Linked DNA regions of Mus musculus: all the other regions are reported to be linked to region 6. The links are microRNA targets in miRTarBase. Many come from high-throughput screens and were not tested one by one. Region 6 holds a microRNA gene; each other region holds the end of a gene's coding sequence.
The links. The annotated mature microRNA mmu-miR-34b-5p reads AGGCAGUGUAAUUAGCUGAUUGU and lies in region 6 at 2,670-2,692, shown strand. An mRNA with a match to its seed (bases 2 to 7 or 8) in the 3' UTR can be bound and repressed. Matches are read on the target gene's strand: a 7mer-m8 pairs with bases 2 to 8, a 7mer-A1 pairs with bases 2 to 7 and ends in A, and an 8mer does both.

Region 1: miRTarBase lists Kdm5a as a target of mmu-miR-34b-5p. Seed matches in the 3' UTR shown: 7mer-m8 at 4,092-4,098.
Region 2: the mRNA of Zfp532 is a reported target of mmu-miR-34b-5p. Seed matches in the 3' UTR shown: 7mer-A1 at 2,004-2,010 and 7mer-m8 at 1,854-1,860.
Region 3: miRTarBase lists Jph3 as a target of mmu-miR-34b-5p. Seed matches in the 3' UTR shown: 7mer-m8 at 1,778-1,784.
Region 4: miRTarBase lists Abcd1 as a target of mmu-miR-34b-5p. Seed matches in the 3' UTR shown: 7mer-A1 at 1,459-1,465, 7mer-A1 at 1,884-1,890 and 7mer-A1 at 2,035-2,041.
Region 5: the mRNA of Ptprs is a reported target of mmu-miR-34b-5p. Seed matches in the 3' UTR shown: 7mer-m8 at 1,698-1,704.
Region 7: miRTarBase lists Slc48a1 as a target of mmu-miR-34b-5p. Seed matches in the 3' UTR shown: 7mer-A1 at 3,330-3,336 and 7mer-m8 at 2,503-2,509.

Annotation. Positions count from the first base shown.
Region 1 is chr6:120,438,218-120,442,529 of GRCm38, forward strand. It overlaps Kdm5a (lysine (K)-specific demethylase 5A), which reads left to right. Exons shown (of 28, transcript NM_145997.2): 28 at 770-4,312. The coding sequence ends at 976. Among named protein-coding and RNA genes, the nearest start is that of Il17ra, 23 kb to the right of the region's middle.
Region 2 is chr18:65,686,176-65,690,487 of GRCm38, reverse strand. Zfp532 (zinc finger protein 532) reads right to left here. Exons shown (of 10, transcript NM_001361053.1): 10 at 1,045-3,526. The coding sequence ends at 3,032. Among named protein-coding and RNA genes, the nearest start is that of Oacyl, 9.9 kb to the left of the region's middle.
Region 3 is chr8:121,788,239-121,792,550 of GRCm38, forward strand. Jph3 (junctophilin 3) reads left to right here. Exons shown (of 5, transcript NM_020605.3): 5 at 1,161-2,845. The coding sequence ends at 1,241. Among named protein-coding and RNA genes, the nearest start is that of Klhdc4, 39 kb to the right of the region's middle.
Region 4 is chrX:73,736,412-73,740,723 of GRCm38, forward strand. It overlaps Abcd1 (ATP-binding cassette, sub-family D (ALD), member 1), which reads left to right. Exons shown (of 10, transcript NM_007435.2): 8 at 379-463; 9 at 692-817; 10 at 901-2,123. The coding sequence ends at 1,120. Among named protein-coding and RNA genes, the nearest start is that of Plxnb3, 19 kb to the right of the region's middle.
Region 5 is chr17:56,410,220-56,414,531 of GRCm38, reverse strand. It overlaps Ptprs (protein tyrosine phosphatase, receptor type, S), which reads left to right. Exons shown (of 33, transcript NM_011218.2): 31 at 427-581; 32 at 668-803; 33 at 1,139-2,106. The coding sequence ends at 1,207. Among named protein-coding and RNA genes, the nearest start is that of Mir6977, 6.5 kb to the left of the region's middle.
Region 6 is chr9:51,101,990-51,106,301 of GRCm38, reverse strand. Mir34b (microRNA 34b) reads left to right here and starts at 2,657; the gene lies at 2,657-2,740. It overlaps Mir34c (microRNA 34c), which reads left to right and starts at 3,192; the gene lies at 3,192-3,268. It overlaps Hoatz (HOATZ cilia and flagella associated protein), which reads left to right and starts at 4,224. Exons shown (of 6, transcript NM_177702.4): 1 at 4,224-4,312. It also overlaps a transcript of Btg4 not described here.
Region 7 is chr15:97,789,933-97,794,244 of GRCm38, reverse strand. Slc48a1 (solute carrier family 48 (heme transporter), member 1) reads right to left here. Exons shown (of 3, transcript NM_026353.4): 2 at 4,175-4,312; 3 at 1,553-3,658. The coding sequence ends at 3,522. Hdac7 (histone deacetylase 7) reads left to right here. Exons shown (of 25, transcript NM_001378971.1): 24 at 180-315; 25 at 503-1,564. The coding sequence ends at 548. Among named protein-coding and RNA genes, the nearest start is that of Slc48a1, 7.7 kb to the right of the region's middle.

The sequences.
Region 1 (4,312 bases), not on the chromosome of region 6:
ACTATTAGCGCCAAGGTTTTAAGTCACCAAACTAAAGCCCTTTTGTGCCCCTCCTAGTCACTGTAGGGTCTGAAGGATCAGTGTTTGCCTGGCATCTGCCGCTGACACCTGTCACTTTCTCAGACTAATTTTAAACCCCAGAGTTAATCTATTGACCTGTGTCTTTGACTGTTGTAATTGGTTAACTTGTAAGATTTGACCTCTGATATTTGCTAACTTTTTATAGGGAGTTGTATTTGTAACGGAAGAAGAGAAGAATAAAAAATAGTAGTTTTAAAAGTGGCCTATGTGACTGCTTTTCTAAAAAGGTATTTAATGCTCTTAGTACTTTGGCTTATCTCTTTGAAATAAAGCTAATCCACAGGATTGCCTCACATTGTTGTCCTCTTCCTTTCTTGATTGTTAATTGCATTATTTTAGAGCCTAGAAATTGTTAATATTAGCTAAAACTACTTGGCTGCTCTATTAGAAATTTCTTTTTTGTTAAGTATTCCCCAATCATGTTTCTGCCTCACAAGGAACCCCAGGTATTCATGAGGGAATGGAGTACCTAAGAGGCCTAATTTTGTGGACACACTATGGTAAAATATAATTTGGGGGTATTAACTTCTCAGCTTCTTTCTTTGAAAAATAACCCCATAAGAAGTCATATCTATCTCTGGATATCCCAGTTGTTTGCTCTTCTAATTCCAAGAAAGTTCTCTGGTTTGCTTTTATTCTGGCCTTACTGTTATGATGCTAAACATCTCCCAATCTTTATCTCCTACAGGTAGACTGGGTACAGTGTGATGGTGGCTGTGATGAGTGGTTTCATCAAGTTTGTGTTGGTGTATCCGCAGAAATGGCTGAAAATGAAGATTACATCTGTATAAACTGTGCAAAGAAGCAGGGGCCAGATAGCCCAGGCCAAGCACCACCTCCTCCCTTCCTAATGAGCTACAAACTACCAATGGAGGATCTTAAAGAGACCAGTTAGCAGATGTCTGGTTAGCTTGCAACATGGGGGGAAGTGGACCACATTGAGACCTTACTCATCAAGCAGAGTGGTTCCGACCACTCAGAATGTTGTTTCCAAAGATGAATGGACTTCAGAAAAAGTCCTCTTAGTGCTGGCTTCCTCTCTGCATGGATTGTGTGGGCTCCATTCTCTTATCATCTGTGCAGAGGATGTCTTCTTTGGTGCAGCAGCCAAGTATTTCAACTCTTGATTCGTTGAGTGTGGTTTGCTGAATTAAGGTCAGGTTCTAATGGAACTCTCAGGAGGCTGTTTGGCATTAATACATTGATGTGCTTAGTGGGGCATATAAGAAGTGGCTTTCGACCAACTGATACTTGTTGTAGACGGTTACAACCTACAGGTGGTGCCATTGGAAGGCCCTGACCGTTTAAATATCCTTAGTTAGGATAATTGGACAGGAGTCAGAGCACAACTTTGTAATTACTGACATTTATGCCCTACTGATCCAGTTAAGAGAAGCAGGCCAAAGTTATCCCTTCTAGAAGTCTTGGAGTGGCAGTGCAGTCTATGACCTCAGCTGCTTGTGTTTATTTAGACCAATAAGAAAATCCTCCAAAAGATCCCCTCACTTTCCTCAGGAGGATGTCAAGCAGGTTAGAATATCTGATTAGACTGGATTCTGGGAAGAAGGGGTTTTTTTTTTGTTTGTTTGTTTGGTTTGGTTTGGTTTTTTCTTACTTCAAGGCAAGTAGGCCATTGGTTTGAGAAGTCCATCTGGGTCTGTGTTTTAGAAAAGAAAGGTAGGTACACAGATCCAGGTTTCTGGAGGGAGTAGGGATGACTAATGAGAATGTTTTACTGAGCCTCGGTGATGCATGCTTATCTGGGAAACCCTCATTCACAAGTATTCCAGACTCCACCATGCTTCACGCATGGCCATGAGCAAGACTGGCAGATAACAGCTTTTGCCTTGCAGCCCTAACCCCAATGCCTGTAGTTTCCAACATGGCCTCAGCAGATATTTGTGAATAACACCATGGCTTCATCAGAGGATGTGGGGCTGTAGGTCCTCTGGGTGTGAAGCTGTTCTAGTAAACCCATTTTTAAAAAGAAAGACTTGTTTTTACTTTTTTCTAAATGTCTCTGACTACTGACTGTTCTATAGATTATTTTTCCTTTTTTGATATACATATATGAATATAGATATATATATATATATTTACTGTTACCAGCAGCGTATGATAGAGTTTGAGCATCAGAAATCCATTTGGAAGCTTGCATTTTCTTTCTGCTTTTTGATAAAGAAATCCCATTCCTTCCTTGTAGTACAAGGAGTTAGCACTTCCTTCTTCATTCTCACCTAAACATATCTTCCACTTTTCTTCTATTCAAATAGATAATATATTTCCTCCATGTTGGGACTTGTCCCTGTCTGTTGGGCAGCTTGGTCTTATTCTAGTCAGTGCTGAATGTTTTGTATGTCTGAAACTATGGTGCTGTGCCCCCCCCCCCTGCCCCTATTGGGTTCTGTGTTCTTACAAAGGTCTTAGGTGGACTCTGTAAACTCCTGCTAGAAGGAGAATAATATATTTTAAAGGACAAAAAGGTTTTCTAAAAATGGTGTTTATCTTCACTATCCTTTGTTCTTTATTTTGGTTTAAGAATCTGCAATTTAACTTAAACTCATCACTTGTCCTGTTAAAGGGGCATTGAGCAAACCTAGGAAGTTTGTAGCCTCTGTTCCCCTTTACTCCAGTCTCTTAAATAAATGTCTTCTAGTAACTAGAAGTGAGATGTACTGTCCAGTTACAGACTGTGTGGGTATGAGGGCTACCTCAAAAGGCATCTTAGGAAAAGAAAAGGTTTTCTTACAAAACCCTTTATCCCAAGTGCTAACCAGGCTTGGCCCTGCTTAGCTTCCAAGGTCAGAGGAGACATACACGTGCAGGTGGTACGGCTATAGGTACAACATCCAATTTCTGAAAATACTTTCTCTGGTTTATACTACCTACTTTTTGGTCTCTTCACTTAATGTTAAGTAACATATCTTGACCAGTTATGTTGTTTGAATGTGTTGCTGTGCTTGTATCTTGAATTTCCATCTCAATGTGAGTGTGAGCTAAGATTTCAGTAATGGTTACAAGGTTAATTAAGTAAATAGTTAATTTCACACATTTTCATTTTGCCAAACATGAAGATTATCACGTAAGAATTTTATTTGGTTATTGTTATAATGAAAAAAAGCACAATATTTCTTAACTTTTAGTCTTTGTAAAAGACTTGAGATACTTGTGGTTTAAAATTGAGTGTACACCAACCCTTCAGAAATTTACAATGTAAGTGATAGAATCCCAGAATACATTTTACAATTTTGATTTTCCTTCCAGTTAACTACTTTTCATTAACTGTGTTATCAATAGTAAGGAGTCATGAGGATACTGAAAGGTGACTGTTTTGAGTAATTTGTGTTCTTTGTACAGTGTTTGTCTGTTGGAGACCTCAGACATAGGCAGTCTGTACCTGTGAATAGCTGCCTGTCATCTTCTGATGTTTTGAAACTTTTAAATATATAATTTAATTGATTCATTCGGCTCTTCTGTACTTATTTGAAGACTTTGATATCTTAACCATAGATTTAGACAAAAACTCAAAAGACCATAAGGGAGGGGGTGGAAAGATGACTCAACGGTTAAGAATCCTGGCTGCTCTTCCAGAGGACCCAGGTTCAGTTCTCAGCACTACATGGTGGCTCACAGCCATCTGTAATGTCCTCTTCTGGACGTTACTGCACTGTACACATGTGGCATACAGACATCTATTCTGGAAAATACTCAAAACACAAATACAAGTAATTAAAATCTTTTTTTAAAAAATTAAGGATATAAGAGAAACTAGCACTCTACCCACAAATTAAAAACCCTATAGTTTGTGAGTTAATGAAATAAAGAGTCATCTATTTAAGGAAAAGTAGATGTTCTAATGTAAAGCTTTGTTTCACAAGAATTGCAAGTAACTCCATTCTTCTGTACTGTTTGTTTACATTTTGTATTAAAACTTGATTTATGTTTCTTTCTGACTCCTCAAAGTTGCACTTCTTCGTTATTAAGTGTTTAATATTTTTTAAGCTATTTCTCACTGCCTTCATTATACTTTAACAAAGGTAACGGAATGAAAAAAGTTGGAAGTCTGCCTGGTGTTTTGGCACACACACTAAGTCCTAGCACTTGGGAGTCAGAGGCAGAAGATTTAAGTCCAGTGAGTTCTACACTAGCCAGGGCTACATAATAAGAAAGAAAAGAAAAGGTAGTAGGTCATTTAGAACTCTACAGAAATACAAGGTAGCAGTCGTTACAG
Region 2 (4,312 bases), not on the chromosome of region 6:
ACAGTGAACACTGGAAATAAGGAAAACAACTCATCAGACATTCATTTGCTCTGTCTTCTCTCTCAAATACCCACACTTAGCACCAGGGACTATTGAACGCTGGACGGGGGCTAAGTGCCAGCACTGGGATCCTGGCTCAGTGCTGTGTTAACTTGCATGCGCATCACTTGACTCATGGTCAGGCATGCTCCTGTATGGCTTTTCCAGGACTCTGGTCTTCTACCTGGAATGTCTACAAAACTAACCTTGGGCCCCCTCATTCTATCTTTCTTGACTCCTTCACTGGCTGCCACAAGCTCCTGATCGCTGCTGTATCCTGGGAAATGTCCTCAAGATCTGTCCTTTAAAGCCGGGCATGGTGGCGCACACCTTTAATCCCAGCACTCGGGAGGCAGAGGCAGGTGGATTTCTGAGTTTGAGGCCAGCCTGGTCTACAAAGTGAGTTCCAGGACTGCCAGGGCTATACAGGAAAACTCTGACTCGGAAAAAAAAAAAAAAAAAAAAAAAAAAAAACCAAAACAAAACCAAGCAAACAAACAAACAAAAAAAGATCTGTCCTTTAGGTCACCAGTTCTTCTGGGAGGTGCTGACTGGCCAGGCTTTCCTGCAGGGGACAGCACTTGAATGCCAGTTTTGTGACCTGGGTTCTGATTTCTGTTTTGAACCTCTCGGCATTTTAAAGAGCCGTTCTTGTAACCCTTCAAAACTAAACATTTAACAGGTCTTAGGTCTACGCGTTATCAAGAGATCTTGCTAATTTTGAAAGTAAAATTACTTTCAGGTTATCTAATAAAAGCTGTAGTGTAAATAAAAGCCTGGAGAGACGGCTTTCAGTGCTCTGGAGCTTGTATTGCCCCTGCAGAGAACCCGCATTTGGTGGCCAGCAACATGCTGGGTAACTGGTTTGCAGCCACCTGTGACTCGGGCTGGTCTCTCTGCAGCACCCACACTCAAACTGTGTGCTACACTCACACAGACACATGTAAGTATAAACAAAACTCCTAAAAAGCCATAGTTTCCCCGAACAAAAGTTTGACTATGTTATTTTTTTTTGCACATAACTTTTATTTGTTGAATAAATGAATATTTGTCAATATGTACATAACCACAAAGGGCAAGATTGAGAGCAAAATATTTGGGTTCTATTATGCAAAGCCACTTACCAGCTATGAGGGACCGGGCGAAGAGCTGAACCTGGGCGCAGCCTCCTCAACTGTACGGCTGCACGGACCTGCGTGTCTGCCACGCAGGCTTATTGCAAGGTTCAAATGCAGGAACGTGTGAAAGTGCAGTGGACACAAGTGGGTGAGGATGTGACACGCAACAGCAACTACACTTCAAGCCGAGGAATATCTCACACCCTTGGATTGTACCCATGTCGTCAACAGAGAGCGGCAGAGTGGCGACAAGTTGGTCGCCGATAGGAACCAGAAGCCATTCTTCAGAGGGGGAAAGAAGCCTGCAGTGTTCTGCAGCCTGTCCCCCAATGAGTCACTCCCCCGACTGTATGATGTCAGAGACCCACCAATAACTCTCTTGAAGAAGCTCAAGGGCCAGACGTTCCTCATTTATTTACATGTGAAATGGGTTGAATACAGTCGCGGCGGTGTAAGGTGCACACCCGACAGCAGCAAGACTTTTCAAGGAACTGAACATTGACTACAGTCTAGCATGCAAGTCTCTATATACACACACATGGATTTCTTTGTTTTAGGAAAACAAAAGTACAAAACATATCGGGCGATAAATACAAGATATAAAATGTAACGGAAAACACAAAACAATAACCAAAATATATATATTTATAGCTTTCCCAGAGAACTATACAGGGATGTGACCAAGAGCACGTCGTCGGCAGTGCTCCAGTCAGGTGACCTTGAGAGGGTGCTGAGACGACTCTAGAAGCCTGGTGGCTCGTCTATGGCCAGTTGCAGAGTACAGGCTGCTGCAGTGCTAAGTCGGTGGTGAGGCTGGGCGTCTCGACACTTAAGTACCAGAACATTTGGCAGTAGCACCCAGAACAGGAACCCAACTGTGTAGACAGCAAAGGGTTAAGTCAAACCTGCCCTTTTGTCCCTATCAAGAACCAGAGATATACTTGATACCCTTGAAGTATATATATGTCTTCGGAATAGTTGGTGAGTTCTATGACAAAACCTGACAATAGAGAGCTATAGGTCTAATTATGACTTTCAACTCTGACCACAGGCTGCCCTTTTCCTAGCCTGCCTCCTAGTGCCCTGTAAGTCAGCCTGTGAACTAACCTAGAAAACTCGCCAGCTCCACTGTCTCCACTTTTTGAATCTCTTCTTCCTCACTCTCCCAGATGGACTGAAGGACACCCTACTGAACTCCTGACCTCTTTTGTCCACTGTGGACAGAGGTAGGGCCTGGAAGGCTGACGCTGTCTGGGGTGGCTCAGGCCACATCCTCACCTGGGTGATGTTGTCCTTGGAGCCCTCGGTTGCTAGGAGCAGGCACGCTGCGTGTGGTGCTAAGACACTTAAAAGTTGCTAGTGTTGTGAGACCCACAATCACTTACAATTTATGTGGCGAGTTCTAAAAATTAAAAAACACTAAAAAAGGCATGATAGCCTGTTATTATTGAACTCATTCAAATTTGTAACATACAAAATGGTTGGTTCGAATTCAGGAACTGCCGCTGTTACTAAGAACTCCATTTTAAAGAAACAGTACAAAAAAAAGAGAATCCTAATCACACACACACACACACACACACACACACACACAAAGAAACCTCAAAACATTTTCCACCAAATACTGATACAAACATGTAACAAAGAGTATAAAACGTTATTTAAATATATACAAAACTCTTTAAAACTCAAATACTGCCTTAACACTTATGGGAAGGGACACATCTGCAGAGGTGAGAGGGCAGGACAGGGAGTCTGTGGCGACAGCCTAGACGGTACTGGTAACTCTTGTTATACTGCCAACTTTTGGTAACAAAAACGTCTTATTCTCCATTCCTATGTGGATAGGGGTTGTCCTCCTGGAAGTTCTGTGGCTATTTTTCAGCTGAACTCATTCTTTTGGATTTGATGAAGGCCATGCCATGTGTCCGCATGTGTGTGTTTAAGGCAGCTTCCGTTTCAAAAGTCTTGGCGCACACTTTGCACTTCCTGTCTGATGCTGCCCCCTCGGCGGCCTCGTCCTCAGGGCTGGGCTTGTTCTCCTGCTGGCTGTCTTCCCCAGCCCCGTTCTGCTTGGACACGGGCTGAGGCTCCTTCAGCTTGTGCACGATGAAGAGGTGCCTGGCCAGGGAGCCGTGGGACGTGTAGCACAGGCCACACTCCCGGCACTGGTGGGAGGAGCCGTCCGACCTGTGCTGTGGGATGTGTTCGTGGAACTGCAGCAGGTTCTCGGTGGTGAAGCCACACACGGCACACTTGTGGACCTTAAAGACATTGATTTTCAGTTTCTTCAGTGGCTGAGTGATGGCTCCTCTGGGAGGCCTGAACTCTAAAACCGGCTCCTCCAACTTCCGCTTGGGACTGGGAACCTTTGTTGTGTGGGGGGGAACCAAAACAAACAAACAAACAAAAAGATACAACTGAAGATGGTGGGTTCTATGCCGGACAAGAAAGCAGATACTGGATGGAGTAGGGTTGGAGGCCTTAACGGTGTGAATTCACCCCGCAAATAGGAAGCATTTCCGTATCAGTGTGCACAGCAGTGCCTTCATGACCCCGGGATGCAGGGGAGCAGCCCCGCAGGCCTTCCACACCTCAGAAGACAAAGCAAGGGCGTGGGAAGGGCTCTAGTAGGAAAACACGGGGAAGGACCGTAATGGCCGGTGATAAGCGGGCCTCGTTCTGACAACTAGAAGCTGAGTACATAGGCCCAGGAGGGAGGAAGGCCTGTGTGCTTTGCGGACAGTGGGTTCCACAGAAAGGGGAAACACAGCACACTTAGGCCAAGGAAGACAGAGTGGAGCACCTCACAGGAGAGGATGGGGGACACATGGTTTTATTACAACTAGAGGGGACGAAGAAGAGACCTCAAGGACCCAGCACCGGCTCCTGCCCCAGCAACTGTCCCAGTCCTCTCTGTCACATGTCCCCTCTGGAGCTGCCTTCTTCCTTTTCCCAAGCTTTCTAAATCCCAAAGGCCCCCATTTCTACATCCTCTGTACTAGGGCACCGCTCTTATGGCCTGCCCTTGCAGCTACCTCTGCTGTGGAGAAGGCCTGTCCTAATGCCACACCCACCTGACTTTGTCCCAAGGAAGTGCACACTCAATGACCGCGGTTAATGTGTGTTTTGAGAAACTGTGTCAGCCTCTTCTA
Region 3 (4,312 bases), not on the chromosome of region 6:
ATGGGCTTGACCCCAGGGCTGGCATCAGGGGGCAGGATCCAGTCCTTGGCCAACTCTGCTATTAAGACTCTTTCCTCTTCCTTGCAAGGCTGGCTCAGCCCAGATGTCATGGACACCTCAAAGTTCATGTCATAAAAGCACCAGAGTTCAGAAGTAAAATCAAGACCCGAAGGCTGGCCTCCTGTCCCTGCCAGGGAGAGCCTGGGTCTCCAACAAAGTCTTCAGCAAAGTGGTAACAGGAGAATGGGCTGGGCTGCTTGGGTCCTGAACCCTGGTAGGACTGGCTGCTGGATCTTTCTCCCTTTGGCTAGTTCCCAGGGTATTTTAAAAAGCCTTTGCTTTGGCTGTAGAGGTAGTTCAGTAGGAAAGGACATGTGCCGTGTAAAGCACACTAAGTAAAATATGTATATGAAGCCTGGTGAGTCAAGTGTGAGGACACTCAGGTATAGAGCAAGAAATAAGGGGGAAAGCTCCCTGAAGCCTGCAGTTCTGGCCAAACAAACTTCTTGTTGGTTCAGTGTCTCGAGGCTGGAGATCTGGCTCAGCAGCTGAGAGCACTGGCTGCACTTTCAGAAGACCTGGGTTCAATTCCCAGCACCCACATGGCAGCTCACAGCTGCTTATTGTGATGTGCTCTGCACACACAGGGCCTGGCTGAGGCTTCCGCAGTGACAGTTCCTGTGTTCCTCTCTGGACGGCTGTCAAGGGCATATGCAAAGCCTCCGTCGCGATGGGACTGTGGGGCTTCCCCTCCTGCTCTGTGTGCAAAGTCTGCTCCCTGGGCTGCAACAAGGCAAGGTACATGAGCAGGCAGCCAAACAGGCAGATGTCTTGGGCCCCTCGGGGCCAGTGGATGTGATGGGGGTGACGGTGAGCCGTGTTGAGAGCTAAGGGCTTGAGTAAGTGCTGGGAGAAGCTAGTTACTGGGTGTATGATAAGAACTAGACCCAAGAGAGCAGCCTATGGGCAGCAAGCAGGTCTTTGAGCACAGGAGACTCCAGGTGACCCAGGTTAGAGCTTCCCACCAGGTTGAGGAAGACTCGTGTCGAGAGCCCTGAGGGCCAGCAGAGAGGGACTGCAGGAGGGGAGCCTCTCCATCAGGCACTGTGTGTACCGAGGCCCTGCACTGGCCTCACTCTCGCCTGTCCTCTCTGTTCCAGGGCTCAGCTCCCATCTTGGTCGTCATGGTGATCCTGCTCAACATTGGAGTCGCCATTTTGTTTATTAACTTTTTCATCTGACAAGATCGGTGTGACCACGGAAGCGATGATGTACAAAAGGGACGCTAAAAGCAAAACATGGAGGGGGCTCCATGACTCGGGACAGCCCCACGGCGCCTGTCCTTCCACAGAAGAACAACATGATTGGGTATCAATCACAGTTTGCCTTTTTTTCTGGGTAATGTTTTTTTGGATTTTAGCCAAAATTCTTTGCTTGTATAACACAATGCTGTGTGGCCTGGAAGGAGGAGGCCGGCATGCCACCCGTCCAGCTTGGTGTGAGCGGGTCCGGGCAAACCAGTGGCCAAAAGATCGGGACCTTCATGTTTCCCGCCAGGTGTGGAGGAAGGTGGCGCCTTGACCGGGGTGCCCGGCAAGCCGGGAGAGGGGGAGGGCAGCCAGGGAGTGCAGCTGTGTGAGTAGCTGGGAGTGTGGGCCCAGGCCCAGGGACAGGGTGTCCTGGCCTCTGTCTCCATGGAGTCTGTGCTGCGTACCTGTGGAGGGAGAGGAAAGCCCCTGCTCTTCTTCCCAGAAAAGACCATGATCCCTCTTCTTGGCACTGCCCCAAGGCTCTCCTAAGGAGGCCTCCTTCCCACACTGAGTCTTAAGGCAAAGTCTGTTCCCTGCTGTCCTCCGCTCACTCATTGTTGGCCCTGTCCAGCCATCCTCCCTCCAGACCCAGGGAGGCCATGCTGCAGACGTCCAGGGCTGACCCCGACCTGGCCGGGCACATCTGAGCCCTGATGCCAAGGGGGCTATGGCCCACATGCCCCGGACTGCCTGACAGCACGCCTGGGTTCTGTCTGAGCATGTGCCGTTCGTTTTGCACCTAGTATGCAGGATGTATATTCAGGCTTCCGTGTCCCTGGCAGTGGCGCCCCACGGAGGACGTCACCTCTCACTGACCTCCACGGGGTCTCACATCTTTGCACTGTGCCTGCCTCGACTTCCCCTAACAGATATGCATATTCCCTCCAGATGCCTCAGAGCTACTCCAGAGAGTCTGGTCCCGGGACAGGAATGTGGTTGAAGCCAGTGGCTAGAATGCCCTGGGCCCCGTTGCATACCCAGCACTCCCGGATGTCCAATGTAACTTGTTTCAGTCAAACAACAGGTTCCTCATGTCTCTGCCTTCTCTACCAGGGTTGTTCCCTCATCCAAACAAATGAATAAGGGATGCCAGCCCGCCTGGCCCCCGTGGCTCCGTCAGTCTCCTTGGGTGCGCCCGCCCGTCTGTCTTACGGACTCCGCCTTGCTTTGCTTGTGTTCTCTGCTACCTTTTGAGCAGATTTCTTTACTACAGTGCACTGGATTGCTATATTTTTAACCAGAAATAAACTACAGATTAGAGCATGTTCCAGCGACGCTCAGCTTTCTTGTTTCCGTTATCCACGCTGTTCCCTGTCCACCGCCTGTCCCTCCTCCTGGAGCTGGTTTGGATCCGGGGAGGTTGAAGGGAGAGTGAGGTTCAGCAGGTGACCCGATGCATTTCTGGTTTCTAAGGGGTTCCATCTTTTTTGTACAGCGTACTTTTCCCTTCACCTTTTTTTAATATCAAGTGGTTGCTGCAGATCTGGCGTGAACCAAATAAAGATTCCTGCTCTTTGCAGCCATGAGAGCCGTCCATACTGGGCTATGTGAATTGTATTTGTCTGCAGACGCGAGGGGCTCAGTGTGCATCCCAGAAGCTCCTTGCCCATCAGGGTACCTACTCACATCACCTGACACACTCACACAGCACAGCCCAAGTGTGCTTAAGGGGCATTGGCAGGGGACAGCGCCCACCCACTCACTTGCTATGAGTGATCTTACCATAGCCCAGAGTCTACAGCCTGGCATCCCGACCTGGCTGTAGTGTGCGGTAGAGTTGGTTCCAGGCAGGTGATGGAGACTAAGCACACTGGATCCTGAAGGATCCAACAGGCTGGCAGGCAGGGAAGGGGACACCTTGCTGCAGCCTGTGGCTACCGTTCTCCTGCCCCTGCAGAGCCTGCAGCATGCTGAGCAAGATGAGGATGGTAGCTGGCGGGGACAGGACAGTGTCACTCTGGCTCCTGGGCACACCACGTGTCATGAGTTTTAACTGAGATCCAGCCTAGCCTCAGAAGACACACTTTTTTCCAGGGTGAAGGGAAATCGTTCCTGACACCCAAGGCCCTTGGTGCCTGCAACATGGCTGTACAGCTGTTGAGCACTGAGTCCTGCACGTTGCAGACTCACTCTTGCACATATGGAGGGAGTCCCAAAGTCTCACACACACACACACACACACACACACACACACACCAGGCAGCAGCACAGAGCATCGGCTGACTGGTCATGATGGTGGTGGTGGTGGTCAGAAATTCCACAGCTACCACAACGCACGGGCCATGCACAGGATCTCAGGCAGCACGGACAGACTGTTTTCTATGACATCCTGACAGACACCTGAAAAAGGCTCCTCCACATCCACACTTATCCCAGGAACCACAGCCCATGGTCACTAGTGGCCAGGTTGGTACCCAGGGCAAGCAGAGGACAGCCACGTATCCCACTTCCAGAGTGTTCTTGCTCACTGGACAAACAGGTCCAGCTTAGACACCCTCAGGGAGACTGAAGACACTGCTGGGAGCCCAGAATGCTCAGATGCCCAGTGATGAACAGGAGACAAGAGATAGTTTGAGTTCGTGGTTACCCTCCAGAGATCTTCGAGGCAGTAACCCCTGCACAGACATCAGACACATCCTACCTTACATCTGTACAGCCCTGCTCCAAAGGCCGTGTGGCTGCTTATTCCATCCCCTCTGTGACGTTCTGTAAGAGAGGATGTGGGATGTTACATTCTCTTCCTGTTTAAGCTTAGCTTTACTGGCTCCTCCTGCTCGTGTCTTCCTCTAGAGAAGTCTCTGGCTGCGAAGCTGAGCACAAGTTCCTATTCCAGCATGTTTCCACATCGCGCAGTCAGCTGACAGCCACCCAGGCCACTTCCTGACACCCAACAGCCCTGTGCCACCACTTCACCACTACAGTGGGTGAGCATCCAGAAGGGGTTGTGAGCCCTTAGCTCTGCTGTCTCGCTAAGGTCCAGCTGCAGGCCAAACACACATCAG
Region 4 (4,312 bases), not on the chromosome of region 6:
AAGTTCTCAATGTGTGCCTTCAAAACATCTTCCCTCTATCCATGTCTCTGTATTTAAATTTCCATTTTCTATAAAGGTACCAGTTATACTAGATTAGGGTTCACCCTCTTGAATTCAACCTGAGCACATTTGGAAAGATTGTCTCTCCAAATCTTACTGGGGAGGGGGGGTAGGACTGTAGCATGTGTTTTGTGGGGGAGAAAATTTTTGTTCCAAGTCTTTCAGTTATTAATGCTATAGGCAGATGAGGACACAGAACAGAAGTCTGCAGCCAGACAAGTTCTGCCAGGGTCGAATGTGTCTCATTTAACCCTCACCCTACCCTGACTCCCATTGGGTTTCTGTTGAATTGAGCTGAGTCCTTCACCTCCTGCCCAGGTTGGGAGGCAGTGTGTGACTGGAAGGACGTCCTGTCTGGAGGTGAGAAGCAGAGGATTGGTATGGCGCGCATGTTCTACCACAGGTGAGCACTGCAGCTGCAGCGACTTTCAAGGACATTCAGTAAATTGGACCCAACAAGAGAGGAAAAAATGAGTTCTCCCAATAGGGAGCTACCTGAAGGAGTTTCACCTCTCTCCCAGCTCTCCCCCAGTGCAGCAGGGCTGTGGGTCACAAGTGTTTAGCCAGGAGCTGAAAGTTGGACAGTGATAGGTAATTCACAGCTTTCCCCTTTACCCACCCCCACCCTAAGGCCCAAGTACGCCCTCCTGGATGAGTGCACTAGTGCCGTGAGCATTGATGTGGAAGGCAAGATCTTCCAAGCAGCCAAAGATGCTGGTATCGCACTGCTCTCCATCACCCATCGACCCTCCCTATGGTAGGTGCTCTTGGAATTGTGGGTGAGGCTGCCACCTGAAGTGAGAAAGCAGCTATGACAGCTTTCTACCCTCTCCTGTTCAGGAAGTACCACACACACTTGCTGCAGTTTGATGGGGAAGGAGGCTGGAAGTTTGAGAAGCTGGATTCTGCTGCCCGCCTGAGCCTGACTGAAGAGAAGCAGCGCCTGGAGCAGCAACTGGCGGGCATCCCCAAGATGCAGGGGCGCCTTCAGGAGCTCCGCCAGATCCTTGGCGAAGCTGCAGCTCCAGTTCAACCCCTGGTCCCAGGAGTCCCCACTTGACTGGGGACCTTATCCCCAGCTCCCACCCTTCTCCAGGCTCTCGGATCACATGAAGGAAGCTCCTCCCCTCCCCCATTGCCCTGCATGCCTTACCCCTCCCAAGCCTCCTAGCCAATTACCTGCATTCCCTGAAGACCCCACTCTGGGACAGGTAGATATGAATGGGGACACACTGCATTCCACCTTCACTCTGGGTTCTGCTCCAGGAACTCTGCCCTGTTCAGGGCAGTGTGTCTTTTACTTTTCCCTGGGGAGGGATGGAGGGTTTGGAAGTCCCCAGTCCTGACTCTATACCAGTATGGCTGAGCCATAGGAAGTAAGCAGGAGCTGCCTCCCTTACTGCCAGCAGCCAGAATGTGTGGCAACCCTGGTAGTTGTGGGTTACATCCCTGCCGAAACCCAAATCCTTGTCATTGTTTTGATCCATCCCTTTGTTGCCATCCCCTTGTGTGACCAGCCAATGCCCCTGTCCCACAGGATACCCCCTGCCATGAAAACAGCCTAATGGGGCCCAGGATTAGACAGGGCCCAAAGTGTGCCCTTCCCCATGGTTACCCAAGAAGGACAGAGTTCCTCCTGAGCCATGAAGAGAATATAGCCCTGGCCCTCCCACTCCTCCACCTCTACAACCTAATTTATTGGACTCCCAGTTTATAGTTGTCTAAATTGCCAACATGAGTACCCTGCCAGCACAGGAGGTGACTGGGTGGTCCCTTCAATCTACCCAGTCTCTGGTGCCAAACCTGGCCCTTCACCAGCCTATACTGCCAGTTGCCACTGGGGGTGCCCTCTGCCAGCTAGGCAGAAGTGAGGGCACCATGTTCCCAGCTCAGTGCCAAAGAGGGGTCACAGGAGGTGCTGTGTCTGCTAAACCAGCCCTCACCAAGAGGGAGACGCCCCCACACACACACCCTACTGCCATTGTGTGCCTTTCCTGGGCCTTCAGCCCTCCAGCTGGGGTACCCCCCTCAGTCCTCTCAGTAAAAACCTCTGGAAAGTACAATCCTGCCTCCTGAACTTGGTGTCTGGTATAAGTTCTGGGGAGTAAGCCAGGCATAATTGTGCCTTTAATCTCAGCACTCTGGAAGCAGAGGCAGGTGGATCTCTGTGAGTTCAAGGCTAGCCCAATCTATGTAGTGAGTTTTTAAAAAGCCAGGGCTGCAAAGTGAGACCCTATCTCTCTCAAAAAGACAGGCAACAACAACAACAAAAGTTCTGAGGAGAGGTCACAATGTTGTTGGGAGAAAAGGAGACCTGCCCCCAAACATGGGCCCAAGTAAGAACCTAGTCAGTTGCTAACCCCATGGTACTCGAAAAAGTTAGTGTTCTCTGGTTATGCCTTTTGTACCCTAGGGAGATGACAATCATTGCTGTAAAATCGTACTTGAGGCCAAAGATAGCCTGCCAAGTGTCTGAAGGGGAGTGCAGAAAGCAATGCTATAGAAACCCTGTGAGATGCCAAGGAGGTAAATTGAGCACTGAAAGAGCCACAGGAAAGAAGTGATTCCTGGATTGAGTTGCACTGGCGCTTCTGAACCTTCTAGGAAGAAGGAAAAACGTATCCAAAGGCCCAGGGGTATGTCCAGAGAAAGATATCCAGTACAGGGGGAAGGAAAGGCCTAGACTGAGGCAAAAGGTCACGTTAAGTCTGAGGATCCCCTGAGTGAACCACGTGGAGCTGGGATGCAAAAAGCATCAAAGACTCTAAGGAGAGGTGGCAACCCCCAGCACACGGTTTTATAAGGTTTCCAGGGGCAGAATAGAGCATCAGCAACTAGGCACAATATGATTGGTGGAACAGTGCACCCTTTAAACGGATTGGTCTTTAGGGAATGAAGTGACAAGGACTTCCATTGTTTGAAGGTGGGCAAAATTCCTGTGGAATGTGTCCCCACCCACAGGTCAGTTCCTGTACTGTTGTGTGAGAAATGTTAATTAGCCTCTCCCTTCCGGAGGGGCAAGTTTTTCATGACCTTCCCAAAGTTCCTAAACTGACCTTTTCTTTTTTTTTTTTTAAACATTTATTTATTATATGTAAGTACACTGTAGCTATCCTCAGATACTCCAGAAGAGGGCATCAGATTTCGTTACGGATGGTTGTGAGCCACCATGTGGTTGCTAGGATTTGAACTTGGGACCTTCGGAAGAGCAGTTGGTGCTCTTAACCACTGAGCCATCTCGCCAGCCCTAAACTGACCTTTTCATTCACTGAGTAGGTAAAATGAGAATAGCCTTGGGTTCTGCAATGGATTTTTTTTTCCTTAGAAAAGATTTATTAAGGCAATATAACAATATACAAAGCACTAGAAAATGGCCTGAGCATCTTTTCAAAAGTGAGCCCACTGTGTCCACAACTTCCCCACAGTTCCTTATCACCAGCAGCTACTTCGCACCTCTCTTCTGACAGGAAGAATATTTCCTTCAAAGGTTTCCACATCCACATAGCAGCCTCACATAGGCCAGCCGCTTCAGGTTCATGCTGCAATGAAGGACAAACCAACCCCACTTCTGCTGAGAGAATTCCTGGGAAGGCCCTGCAATCAGGACACATCCTTACCCCGCCCTGGAGGGGGATGAGCGGTCCAGCATGTAGGAGACTCTAAAAGAAATTGAACCGAAACTCTTCGCTGGTCAAGTCCGGAGTGGTTTTGACCTTAAAGCAGGCCATGGAGTTGTGTGTGGACACTTGGTGGAGACAGGCCAGACAACTGCTGCTAGGAATAGAGGGGATGTTTTTGTTTTTTTGTTTTTTGTTTTTCAAGACAGGGTTTCTCTGTATAGCCCTGGCTGTCCTGGAACTCACTCTGTAGACCAGGCTGGCCTTGAACTCAGAAATCTGCCTGCCTCTGCCTCTGCCTCTGCCTCCCAAGTGCTGGGATAAAAGGCGTGCGCCACCATGCCCGGCGAGGGGATGTTCTTATAAAGCTAAGCTGAGTTCCCACACTGCCCGTATTTCCACCCTCAAGACATACCAAAAAAATCAAGTCAGAAACCTATGTAGATGTTTACTGTGTAGATTCTATACAATATTTACAGAAGCCTGAGTACCCAGAAACAGATAGACAAACATATATATTTATACAATAGAACATTATTTGACCATAAAAGGTTGTGAAACAGCAACACATGCTATAATATTCAAGAACATTAAAGACATGCTGACACAAAGAAGCCAAGCACACAGGTCCAAGT
Region 5 (4,312 bases), not on the chromosome of region 6:
GGTGAGAGCAAAAAGCATAGGGGAACTAGTATGGCCACCAGTCAATGCCAGAGTTGCCGTGGGTGACAGGAGACCAGAGCCTGGACAGGGTGGTGGGATGAGGGGCTAAGCCTTGGGTGGCTGAGGACTGATGCTCACAGGGCCAGGGTGTGGGGCAGGGTGGGCAGAAGCGAAGCATGGTCACAAGAGGCCTGCAGTGGGTAGTGGGAGCAGCTTGTCACCTTCTGGGAGCTGTGGTGGGGTTTGACAATGACTGGGACAAACCCAGCAACATTGGGGGTTGTGGCATAGTCAGATGAATGGGCAGCCAGCATCAATGGAAGGTGGCACCTTGGATGACAAAGGCCCCCTGGCAAAGACCACATGGTCTGTGTGGAAGACACCATTAGACAGTAAACAGGGATGGTGACCCAGCTATCCTCCCAGGATGGCCAGTCCCGGACCGTCCGACAGTTCCAGTTCACGGACTGGCCAGAGCAGGGTGCACCCAAGTCAGGGGAAGGCTTCATTGACTTCATCGGCCAAGTGCATAAGACCAAGGAGCAGTTTGGCCAGGACGGACCCATCTCAGTGCACTGCAGGTGAGTGCCACACCTGGGCTCCTGAAGGTCCTGGGGCCACTGAGAGGCTTTCACCCACATGACCGCACATCCCCCTCCTCCCACAGCGCCGGAGTGGGCAGGACCGGAGTGTTCATCACCCTGAGCATCGTGCTTGAGCGGATGCGCTACGAGGGCGTGGTGGACATTTTCCAGACAGTGAAGGTGCTTCGGACCCAGAGGCCTGCCATGGTGCAGACAGAGGTATGGGGGGTGATGGGCAAGAAGTCCCTGCCGCTGAGACTCAGTTTCCCTCCTGGAAACCTATAGGCTGATTGTAGGTGTGCCTCAAACATCCCCCATGGTTGAGGAGGCGGTGAGCCAAAGTCCCTGCATGGAAACTCAGGCTCTGGCAAAGGGGCCCCTCACCCCTGCAGGTTTGGGGTCTGTCAGAGATCTTACCCTCCTGGGTTGGAAGATTGAGGCCAGGGCAGAACTGGGCTGGCTGGGAGAAGGGGCTGTAGGCTCTGAGCGGGGAGGACTGCTGCCACCGTGGGAACCTCCCAGGAATGAGTGCCTGTGTCTCCTCTGCCCTGCAGGACGAGTACCAGTTCTGCTTCCAGGCGGCTTTGGAATACCTGGGCAGTTTTGATCATTATGCAACATAAGCCATGGGCCCCGCCCAACACCTCAGCCCTGCGCCAAGTGCCCTGGATGTGAGCCTAGGCCCGCCGCTGGGCAGGATGCGGCCCAGGGAGACCTCCTCTTCGCGGAGACAGGCGCTGCCTTCCTCATTCCCTTCTGATTCCAAAACGAGGTTCCAGGGTGGGGGGTTGGGGTGGAGAGAGAAGGAGCCACTGCTCCCCAGGCTGGGGTCACACAGGGACCGACCTCTGCTTCCGCACTCCCCTGCCTGCCTTTTGGCAACATTTTTTTTCTTATTTTTTTTTAATAGTGTATATTTTTTTTCTTTTTCTTTTTTTCTTTTTTTTTTTTAAGAAAAAAACAAAATCGTGCCGGTCAAAACTTTGAAAAAGAAACAAGATCACTGTTTGTGCCTCTGTGGGAGGCCTATTTTTTCATAGTTAGTGTGCCGTGTGGCGGCTATGTGCGGCCACTTCGACGGCTTCTGTGTGTGCATCTTTCCCACATGCCCGACACTGCCCCCATCCCCATGTGAATGGTGCGCTTAGTTTTTATTTTTAACCTTTTTACTTTTTTTTTAATCAATCTTCAGACATATCAGATATGGAGGGTGAGGCGCTGGGGGCACTCGGGCCAGACTACAGGGACATGGCCACCAAGGACACAGTGGCTGGCCTTGCTGCTCCAGTCCCTGGCACACCAGGGAGGGTCCTCGTCTACTCATGACCTCTGTGCCCCGCATGGAGGACCTGGGACTACGGGACACTTGGGGGATATCCAACCCCCTGGAGCAACTGAGGTCTCTCTTTGTAGGAGAGTGGGTCAGTACTCGTCCCCGCTGTTTTTTGGGCAGAAGCAGCAGGTGACGCCCCTGTATGTAGATAAACCAACTTTGTATTAAAGAAAGATTCGTCCGACCTAGTGCATGGAGTGCTCCTTAATGCTGCCACTGTTGGGGAAAAGGCAGGACCAGACACTGGTGACCAGTGGGCTCAGAGAAGAGGTATTTTGGCCTCTGCGGTCACACAGTGGCTCTGGGCTTCAAAAACAGCTTAGTGGACTCAAATATGAGGTCCCGAGTTCAAATCCTAGCACCCAGGCAAAGAGGTGCTGCAAAGAGGCATGGTGGATATACTTGTCATTCCAGCCCTGACGTTTCTGGGGCTCACCAGCCAGCAAAGCCTGATGAGGGGACCCTGGCAACAATGGCAGAGTTGGTGAAGAGTAGGAAGCGACAGTAAGGCAGGTAAAAGAATTGGGGTGAGCTCTGGAGTGGAGGAGACTCCTTCATAGACTGCCAGAGCCTCGAGTCCATCCCTCTGGAGAGAGATTGAGGCCGAAGTGTCTGAGCTGGGGTGGGGGTGGCCCAGCATCCCTTACGACCTGATTCTCTTTCATGGCTGTGTAATATTCCCTTATGTGATAGGAACCTGCTGTTGTTCAGCTCTGTCTCTGGGTTAAAGCTGGAGCTCTGTGAGATCCTTATACAGAGGCTGGAACTACTATGGGATGTGCTCTGGTGTCGTGTCTGAAGCATAAAAGATACTCAGGCTTGTCCCAACCTTGACAAGTAGTGACAGCATGCGCCAAGTACCCTGGGCCAAGCAACTGTATCTACTTCCTTAATGGTCTTATGTTCACTTTGGGGTATGAATCCCCACTGAGTTGACCTTGAACTCAAAACCCTCCTGCCTCCACTTCCCTCAGTGGGCTTATCAGCACGTGCCACAGGTCCTGGCTAACTGTTTTCAACCGACAGTGGTTTTACACTGCTATGACTTCATCCCAAGGGCTGCGCTCCTGAGTTACATAGGAATGAAGGAGCAGAGGGCCTGGCTAACTGACCCCGCTTGTCTCCCCAGTGTTTTATTTCAAAATTAATCTTTAATTTTCCATGTGAGCGTGGCACCTGTCCATGGTGGCCGTAGGAGCTGGGTTCCTCGACCTGGCTTCAGGCAGTTGTGAGCAGCAGGAGTCCTCCCTCCCACACCCAAAGTCCAGGTCCACAGAAGCAAACTCCCACTGTCACTACCTGTCAATACCTGTCAAAACCACAAGAGACTCAAGGGCCGTACATAGCCTGGAGACAAAGCAGAGAATCTGATTCTCGTTTTGCATTTCAGTCGGGTGGACAAAGGTTCCGGCTCTGGCCACTCTCGCCCCAAAGCCCTTCAGACAAAGCTATGAGTGTCTGCTCCTCACAGAAGTGGCTTCTTCCCTGCTTTGCCTGCCTCAGCCTCCCGTTGCGAGCCTAGCTGTGCTCAGCTGTGTGTGTGTGGGGTCAGGGGGGCCCATCCTGACTGTGAAGCTGGCTGGAAGACAGGAGGAAGCAGGGAGAGTTACCCTGTAAGTCACTGAGGGGTACCTGTACCCTCATTTTGGCACAGACCTCCACAGCCCCATGCTGTCCTCAGGCAGAAGTGGGGCCCACATCACAACTGGCTATTTACAGCCTGGGCTTCCAGAGGACCTGAGTTTGGTTCCCAGCACCCACCAGGAGGCTCACGGCACCTGGGACTTTCTCCAGGCATCTGACATCCCTGGTTTCCTAGGGTAGTAGTGGCTTTCCTATGTAATATACCTCTACACAGACACAAATTTTTTTAAACTAAATTTTTAAAAGATTTTTCAGAAATACCCTCCCTCTATCATCTTGTACAGGTTGACTGTAACACACACACACACACACACACACACACACACACACACACACACACACCCCAGTCAGTAGCCCTCCCTTATTTGGCCAGAGGACCAGCAGGTTGACTGTAACACACACATACACACACATACCCCAGTCACACACACACACACACACACACATACACCCCAGTCAGTAGCCCTCCCTTATTTGGCCAGAGGACCAGCAGGTTGACTGTAACACACACACACACCCCAGTCACACACACACACACACACACACACACACACACACACACCCCAGTCAGTAGCCCTCCCTTATTTGGCCAGAGGACCAGCTACACTGAGATACTCTTTAACCAACAATTTTGTCTTTGGGGAAATGTAACAATTAGCCCAAGTAGATAGTAAATACGGGAGTCTAACATGTGAGGGCTAATTACTTGAATCAAATATTACAGAAAACCAATCCTGGTGTGCTGTTTGGC
Region 6 (4,312 bases):
AAACAAAGAGGACGTGTACAGACGATGTGCTGTGTGTACTGACAGGAGGAAGTCATCTCTCGATGGCCCTTTTACAGGAGTCATAAATTAAGTCAAGATAAATTTGTCAGATTCACGCAGGAAGTTCTTGTTTTTGATACTTTTCATGGTTTCCTTCCGGTCAATACTATCAACCCATCTCCTCAAAGGTCCTACCCCATCTCCCAGATCAACAAAAACCCAGAAATTAAAGCAGTAAACAGCTCCTCCTCAAGGTGCCTTCCTGGATCTATCTAACCAAATGTAATGGTCTGCTTGGGCATTTTAACCACACCACAGGCATTCTTACTTAGATTAAAACATGAGTCTCCCTGGTCTCTAGACATGCCTAGGCATGACCAGCAGATGCAATAAGATCCTTGGAGTTTCTCTAGTAACTGTGGGCAGGATCAACAGCAACCCTAAGAACAGACATTCTTTTCTATTGTTGCTTTCTAACAGAACTAGGGCACACGCATTTTTTTTTCATCATTTTACTTTTTATCATTGAAGAAAAAAATTTAGTCTAAATTTCAAGACAGTTTATGCAATGATAGCTTTGGATGGAAGCAATAAAACTCAGGTAAGATATTTAAGATGCTACTAATAGAGAAAATCCCTAAGCTGGGTGGAAGCATGACACATGGAGTGAAATTGAGCAAAATGCAAAATAAATGATTTTTTAATGATGTCCTCCTAAAACTTGTAACTCTTCATAGTGTTTATGGGATGGAGGCTATTTCTACTACTTTTATTTATATTTGAACGTTTAAATGACCTTTTGTAGGATACATTATACTTTTCTCAAATACAAGAAGACTGAATACAAGATAGTTATTTACAAATGTCTTTCATAAGTTAATTTTATAATAATCTGGCATTTTCTACTTCATTTTCCTTTCACTTAAGCCTTCATAAAACAATGACTCTGAAGGAAAAAAACATTGTCTTTTACTTTCAAAGATAATGTTAAAATATACACAAGTTTATTCTTGGGAAGTTCTTGGGTTTTAATGGTTTCCACTTGGAATTTGTGTTGAATGTTCCTGATGATTGGCATATATTCATGTAATTAGTGGCATCTACAAGACCATTTGCTGGGCTTACAGGTATCAGTGTATAGCTAAGAAATGTCCCTTTGTAGACTGCAAGACTGTTGGATCAATACAAATGGGTGTCATACAGCATACAGGAAGACCACAGTCTGGGACGGCTACTTCCTACTGAATTCCACAAAGTTTGCAATCAGAGAATACTGTATATCCTCTCTGGGCTCAATTAATTAAAGGAAAGGAGAGGAAAGACTAAAGGAAAGAAATATTAGTGAAGATGGCGCAGAAATGCTGTCCCCTCAGCGCCTCCTATTCCCAATATACACAAACACGCACCCCGTTATCAGATATAAAATAGCAAAAACAAGGGGAATGTAACTGACAGAAGATATGGCTTCTCGGGCTTCTACAGACCTCATCCTTAATGTCCAAATCTACCCTTGCTTCAAGGATCTACCTGAACTCTCACCTCCTCCATGATGGTGTCTGTCAGCTCTTGTTGGCACACCTCCCACCCCCACCCATACCTGTTTTTTTCTATTAGGAAAATCTATCAGTTTAGCAACTTTATACTGTCTGGAGTAATAAATAATGTGTTCACATTTTGTTACCACCTAGACTGTCTGATGGGTAGTAAGACAAACGCCTGTTAGGTGCTGGATTTGTAACATTTAAATAAAACAGGAGCCCAAAGTGAGACTAGATATCCTCAAGGCTCACGGGGAGATCATCAAAACTGTGTCTTTGATCTTATAAGGGCCACAACTTTGACCTACCAACAAGGGTGTTGGTTCAATGTTTGACCAGAAGAGTGGCCCACACTTCACTGTATGGCCCTGTAAGAGGTAGTCCTAAGAAAGAACTTGGGTACAGGCAAGGGCAATCCTGCAGGTATGAGTGCCCAGGCCTGCTCAGGCAGGAAGGCTCCAGATGAGACGCCTGGGAAGCGGTTTCTGAGAATGGGCATATGAACAGTGAGGAGGCCTGGGGCTTCTTGGGCAATATATTGGGAAGGAGAGATGGATGTAGGTCTCTGCGCTTCTTTCTTCGATGTAGCAGTAACTACACTGTGAAGATAAACTTCTCAAGAATCTGTCTCTCCATCTCCCCGGCCCCTTCCCAGGAGGCTCTGCAGGAGCCCTCCCATTGCCCCTTCTGGTAGCTTCTGCCACCCCTCCCCCACTCGCCCCGCCCCCTCGGCCTCGGGGTTCCAAGGGCGGTTGGTCGCTGAGCCACGGTCACTCGGCCAGTAGGAGCTGCGGGGCGCGCGGGCTGGACAGAACCGGCTCTAGACTTGGGTCTGGAAGCCGTGAAGAAGTTGTTGGAGGCGGGTCAGACCCGGCTTGCGGGAAGAAGGACTCGGGCCGGATGCCCTGGGGTCCGGGCTGAGTCGGGGGTCTCGGGGGGGACGGCGGGGACAGGGGGCCTCAGCGCCTGGGGGTTCACCTGGGGTCGCGCGCGGCCCTGCTGGGTGTGGAGGGGCCTCGGGAGCCTGAGGCACCTCTCGCTCCGCCGCCCTCGCCTGTCGACCGTGGCGAAAGGGGGCGAGGGGCCCGACCCTCGGGAGCTGCAGTGGCGGGCGCCCGGTGCTCGGTTTGTAGGCAGTGTAATTAGCTGATTGTAGTGCGGTGCTGACAATCACTAACTCCACTGCCATCAAAACAAGGCACAGCATCACCCGCCGCCCGCGGGAGGAGAAGCCAGCGCTGCAGCCCCACTGACTCCGCAGAAAGCCGAGGCCGGAGCCAGGATGCGTCAGCAAAGGGCCGGGAGCACGAGGTCTAAGTGCAAGTAACCCTCGGAGACCGGCGGCCTCCTTTAGGGACCGTTCGGCTACCTGTGTGTAAGAGCCAGAGCAAAAACGGTTCAGTGATGTGTAAAGAGAATCGGTATACACCGGCCTTAACATAAAAAAAAAAAAAAAAAAAAAGGCCAGGAAGAGCCCCCCCCCCCCCCCCCCCAGAACAGTTCCTGCTGCTGCTGTGATTCACTGCCTGATTTCCACTTCTGAGAAAGCTATCACCAAGGCAGCGACTAGAGTCAACCACAGCTTGGCTGACGATTTGCTCTGGTCACACCAAAGTCTGAGAGCACCAGCTAAAGACTGCATGCTTTTTTCTGAGTCTAGTTACTAGGCAGTGTAGTTAGCTGATTGCTAATAGTACCAATCACTAACCACACAGCCAGGTAAAAAGACTGAAATTCCTCCGACTGAGCCTCCTGTGAATCGTCATTTTGGTGAGGACAGAGCCATAGGGAAATATTCTTACCATACTATTAGTGGTTTGGGGGGGGGGGGGGAACCGCTAGCCCTTAGCTGCTAAGTATACAATGTATCAATTTGTGTGGGGTACATTTTTTGTGATTTTTAGATATATTGGAAAAATAGAAATTATCCCTTAGCTGATTTGGTCATTATATTGACTTGTGATTATAAATCTTTGGACTTTGCCTGACATATTAATAACACTCTAAAAAATAAAGCGCCACGAAAATCTCAGCAATCGTGTTCATTTCCTTTCCAAAAACTGGCTTTAGGATCTCCATTTCAGCTCCTGTCAACCCCGTAAAGTCATTAAATGGTTAGTTGCTATACAGACAAAATCTCCAGGGAAACGTCTCACACATGATTGTGACCTGGAAGGGAACGTTAAATGTTTTCATAATTTTCCATGGGGCAAGGGAACTCAGCCCACTTAACCAGGTATATTTTTTAAGGTATTAACAGTTGCGTTCTAGGCAACTTTTCGTGGGAATAATTAGTGAACACGATTTAAAACCAGCTGGTTTCCTAATATCTGTAATAAAAGATTTGAGAGGTTTTAAATCACACAAGCTGTATCCACCGGTACTTCTCGGCCCAGTTCTAGATTAGCGCTTTATGCAGATGTATCAATGCAAACCTGAGAATTTCCCCAGAGGTAAGAGTGCGAAGCCTTGGCAATCTTGTCCAAAAGAGGAAGGCGCTCTTTAAAGCTCACATTATTGGGCTATCTGGGGGAGGAGGAGACGCTGGCTGAGGATCTAAGAGACAGTCCAGGACTGTACACATCACAAAGTTGAGGCTTTTACTCTTAAGGCTTGACTGGCCCCGAAAATTGTGACCTCGACAGAAGCCAGCTGCTGATGGGCCACAAGCCCTCGAGGAACCCCAGATCTACGGAAGAAGAAACACAGGCATTCCGGTGGTGGCAGTTACCAACAGGACGGTTCTCCGGTAGGGGCGGGACGCCAGAGCTAAG
Region 7 (4,312 bases), not on the chromosome of region 6:
GGGTGAGTTGGGAGAGGGTGTTTTGCTGAGAGGGCAGGAGGGGAGGCTGGCCCCCAAGCTGATGATGTGGCCACTATCCTTGGGCTCTGGGCCTGAGTCCCCAGCTGTGGTATTATTTGAGCTATATCTAGGATATAACTCAGCTTGTCTTCCCCAGTTGACCCAGCTTCTCGTCCTAGGGAAATACTGGGGCTGCATGCAGCGCTTGGCCTCCTGTCCAGACTCCTGGCTACCCAGAGTGCCGGGAGCTGATGCAGAAGTGGAAGCCGTGACCGCGCTGGCATCCCTTTCTGTGGGCATCCTGGCTGAAGACAGGTAACACCAGATCCCTAGCCCCAAGCCCAGGGCCTTCGAATCTCCTCGGATCCTCCCATGTCGAAGACCTCAGACCCCCCATGCAGCTAATCTCTCAGGCCTTTAAAGCCTGACTATGAGGGTAACCCCACCAAGGCATGCCTACATCTCGTGGCTCTCCTACACCCCGCCCTTGTCCCATTCCCAGGCCCTCGGAGCGGCTGGTGGAAGAGGAAGAACCCATGAACCTCTAGGGTTTCAGAACAGATCGCGCTTCAAATGTGGCTCTCCTCGTCTCTGATGTCAGCCCTGGTCCTGGGTCTTCAGAGATCCTCTGGGCAGGTAGTCAGGTCCAGAGCACAGCCTACCCTGACGGCTATCCCAAGGAACTTGAGAAGACCATGGGATCTGGGTAGGGGACCAGGGAGGACTCTGGGAGGAAGCAGGTTGGGCACTAGGGCACAGCTGGGCTCTTCCAGAACAGATTAGGCCGTCTGGTGTCCACACCCCTAGCTGTGGTCTCCATCCCTCCCTCAGGACTGCACAGAGGGGGACTGGCTCAACTGGGCCACCCATAACCACTATTCTTAACTTGGCCTCGGCCAGGGTGGCCTTTCTCAGGTTCTGAAGGGCTAGGAGCTGGAGGAGCCAAGGGTCCCCTATTCCTGAGTACAGGAGAGTTTCCTCTCTCCTGTTTCCTCAAATGCCTTTCTGGTAGCTCTGGGCTCTGAGAGCCATTCTGAGCTGCTCTCTCCCTGTGAGTAGTAGTCACCTGCAAGTCTCCCATCAGTCACTGTCTCGCCAGAGGCCACCCTATGTGGACCATCTCAGTGCCCCGGTGCAGCAGACAGGTGCTCTCTGAGTCCTGTGTCTCCTAACCCAACGGTGCCAAACCTTCATCTCCCTTCAAAAGCACAACACAATCCCAGGGATGCCTGGTCACTGTCCCCAGTATGAGCCTTCTGTTTCTGGGGTCCCTCCCACCCCTCAGCTCTGGCTGCTGCCCCACATAGGACTAGCTTGGCTGAGGGGAACAAGATGGGAGAGTAGACAGACATGGGGGAGGGGAGGCCACCCCAGAAGTCTTCGAGGCTTTTGAGGTTTAGGTCTGGGACCAAGAAAGAGTATTTGTGTGTATGTGTGTGTATGAGTGCGTGCAAGAGGGTATATGTGTGTGTGTCTTCCCACAACCCCACCGTACCTTGTCTATGTATGCATGTTTTTGTAAAAAAGAAAAAAGTGAAAAAAAAAAACAAACTTCTGAACAATATATGTTTTATTTGCTTTAAAGTCCTTGGGAGAACGCCTCCTGGATGTTGGTGGGACATCGTCAGTGGAGTGGGTGTGCACCCAGCATCCTGTGATGGGCTGGGGAAAGGGGACAAGTCTGGACCTAACTCAGACCCTCTAGTCCCTTGTCCTTCCTTGGCTAATACATGCAGGAAGAAACCACTCCAAATACATGCTCACCAACCCAGGTGAAAAGGGAGATGGCCCCAGGCTGAGCCCTGCACATTGGGCCCTGTGGGATTCGGGAATAAGATCTCAGGTTCAGGTTGCTAAGACACCGCAAAAGGTTGTGACGCAGGCACGCCTGGCTTAAGCCAGGCCTAGCCGGGAGGTCAGTAGTCTTTACCTCCTCTATCAGTAGGAGCGTCTACCAGCAGAAGGCTCTAGAAGTGACACTGTTCCTTATCCTTCCCTGCTCTAAAGTCCCATGGTGTTTTTACACTGTAAAGGCCAGGGTGAGGCAAACACAGGCCAGGACAAGTGTACCCAGCGTGAGAGAGGTGCTAGCTCCTGCCTTTCTGCTTCTGAATCCACACATCCTGGTCAACTTGGAGCCCCAAGTAGTCTGGCTGGGGTAGAAAAAGAAAGATTCCCTTTCCCATCTACCTTGGCTTAGGGTGGGGAGATGGAATCTGCAGGGATGTTGAGTCTGTGGGCATCCTAACCCTGGCTGGGACAGAACTGGGAGAGCAAAGGAGATCTCAGCTGGTGGTCTCCCCATAGGGGACCAGAGATGAGGAATACCGTCTAGTAGCCCCAAACTTAGGGAGATGATCAGACAGCTAGAGCCCCCATCTTGCCCACTCTTGTCCCCTCTCAAAACCGCCCACCCCCCCAAAGAAACACCCTGAGGCTGGTTAAAATGGCCGCTGTATTTCTGCTTAAGTGCCCATAACACAGGTAAGGCAGAGAGCTGGGGGCAGTGCCCAAGTGGAAGAGTAGACGTGCAAAGTGACAACCCATCAGAGAAGGTTACAGAGAAGAGTAGCAGCCCCTGCCCTCCCTCTCCGCTTAGGTAAGGCCTTGGGCCCATGTCCACTCAGAAGAGTTCCTTCAGGAGAGAGAGAAGGTGAAAGGTCAGAGTTAGGATCTGGTGCAGGGAGGAGGTCCTCACGGTCAGGGTGGTCTTGTGCAGTGAGGGGCAAGGTTGGAGACTCAGTACAGATGGAGAGCTCCCACTTGCCCCCACCAGGTTGCCCCCGATCCCAAAGCCCTTCTAAGTGCAGGGGTGTGTTTCCTGTGGTCCTCAAGTCTAGCCTCATCCGAGGAGTCCTGCTCTGGTGTGTGTGGTCATGTGTGCATATGCGACACATGGGAATGGTTGGCTGGCGCTAGCACCCTCATGGGAAACAAACTCTGGATGGGAAGGTAGGACGGACGGACGCTGGATTCTGTCCAACTGTGCTGCTTAGGGAAGGAGCCAATTGTCAATTCCCTAAGGACCGGTGAGTTTGGCTACCCGACACTTCAGGGTAACAGGGTGGGGAACAGGGGATGGAGATCTGTACTAAAGATTCCTCTCTTGACCAGACCTTTGATGCCTCCCCCACACACAGCTTCAATGAAGTCTGGGGTAGCAAGGAAGCCTGTCCCAGCCCCTGTCACTAGCCATAGTTCCAATCCTACCCATTGAATTCATTGTCGTGGCCCTACTTACAGAGATCCCTCAGAGGGCTAAGAAAATAGATCTATTTGGAAAGGTCTAAGCTGCCCTCTAGCTGGGCTAACGGGCAGATTGGGCAGATTGGCAGTATCCCTTTAACAGCTCTATATCTTCCCCAAAAGGGGACCAGACAGATTTCTGAGAAACTGAACGGGCCCATATACTCTGCCATGGTTCTGGAGTTCCCCAGGGGTTGGGGTGAGCTCCCTTGCTGACTCGGAAGCTGAGTCCAGATCCCGAGGGCCCCCAGGCTGTGGTGACCTCATTCCCTGGGTTAGAAATCACTAAGGATGCTGATGTCCGCAAAGTCAGCCCGGTAGCGGTGGGCGTAGAGGCTAAGTAGGAAGGCCCACTTGAAGGAAATGAAGCTCCAGACACAGGAGAGGTAGTAGCTGTTCGGGTCTTTGAGACCTGCAGGGAAAAGAGCCAGACGGTAACTTGAGAGATCTGCCCACAGCATCACAGCTAGGAGCCCCTTCTTCCCACTCCATATCCTTCCAGCCTCCTGACCTCTGAAATCAGTGCTATCAAAGAATCAATAGAGGTGGGCATGTGATGCAGGTTTAGAGTAACAAACACTGCATGTTTGGTTACAAAGCTGGGATCGTGAAAGGAGGTCAGAGATGGCCAGCAGGTCTGTACCCATCCCCTGCTTCTGTGGCACACGCCCTTCCAACCTACATCACGGATACAAGGATCAGCCTCTGCTAGTTCTTATCACCACCACCAGGGGGCGCTGCCCGCCCGATGCTAGGCAGAGATTAAAGGACCCCCAGCAACTCCTACCGGACTCGAACCCTCCTACCCCTGAGGAGATGGGGGCTCTCATTCTCCCTATTTCAACAATAAGGAGCCCGGGCAGTGGGGAAAGGGTCAAGCAAGCCATCCAGGCCCTCTCCCGTCCTCCTTTCCCTGGACGGTCCTCACTCTGATGCTGGGTGATGGCCAATGCCAGGAAGGTGCAGAAGGCGGAAACGGAGACTGCCGAGAAGAGAGCACCCACGAAGAAGAAGCCGCGCAGCCCTCTGAGCCAGGTCCTCCAGTAATCCTGCATGTACATCACGT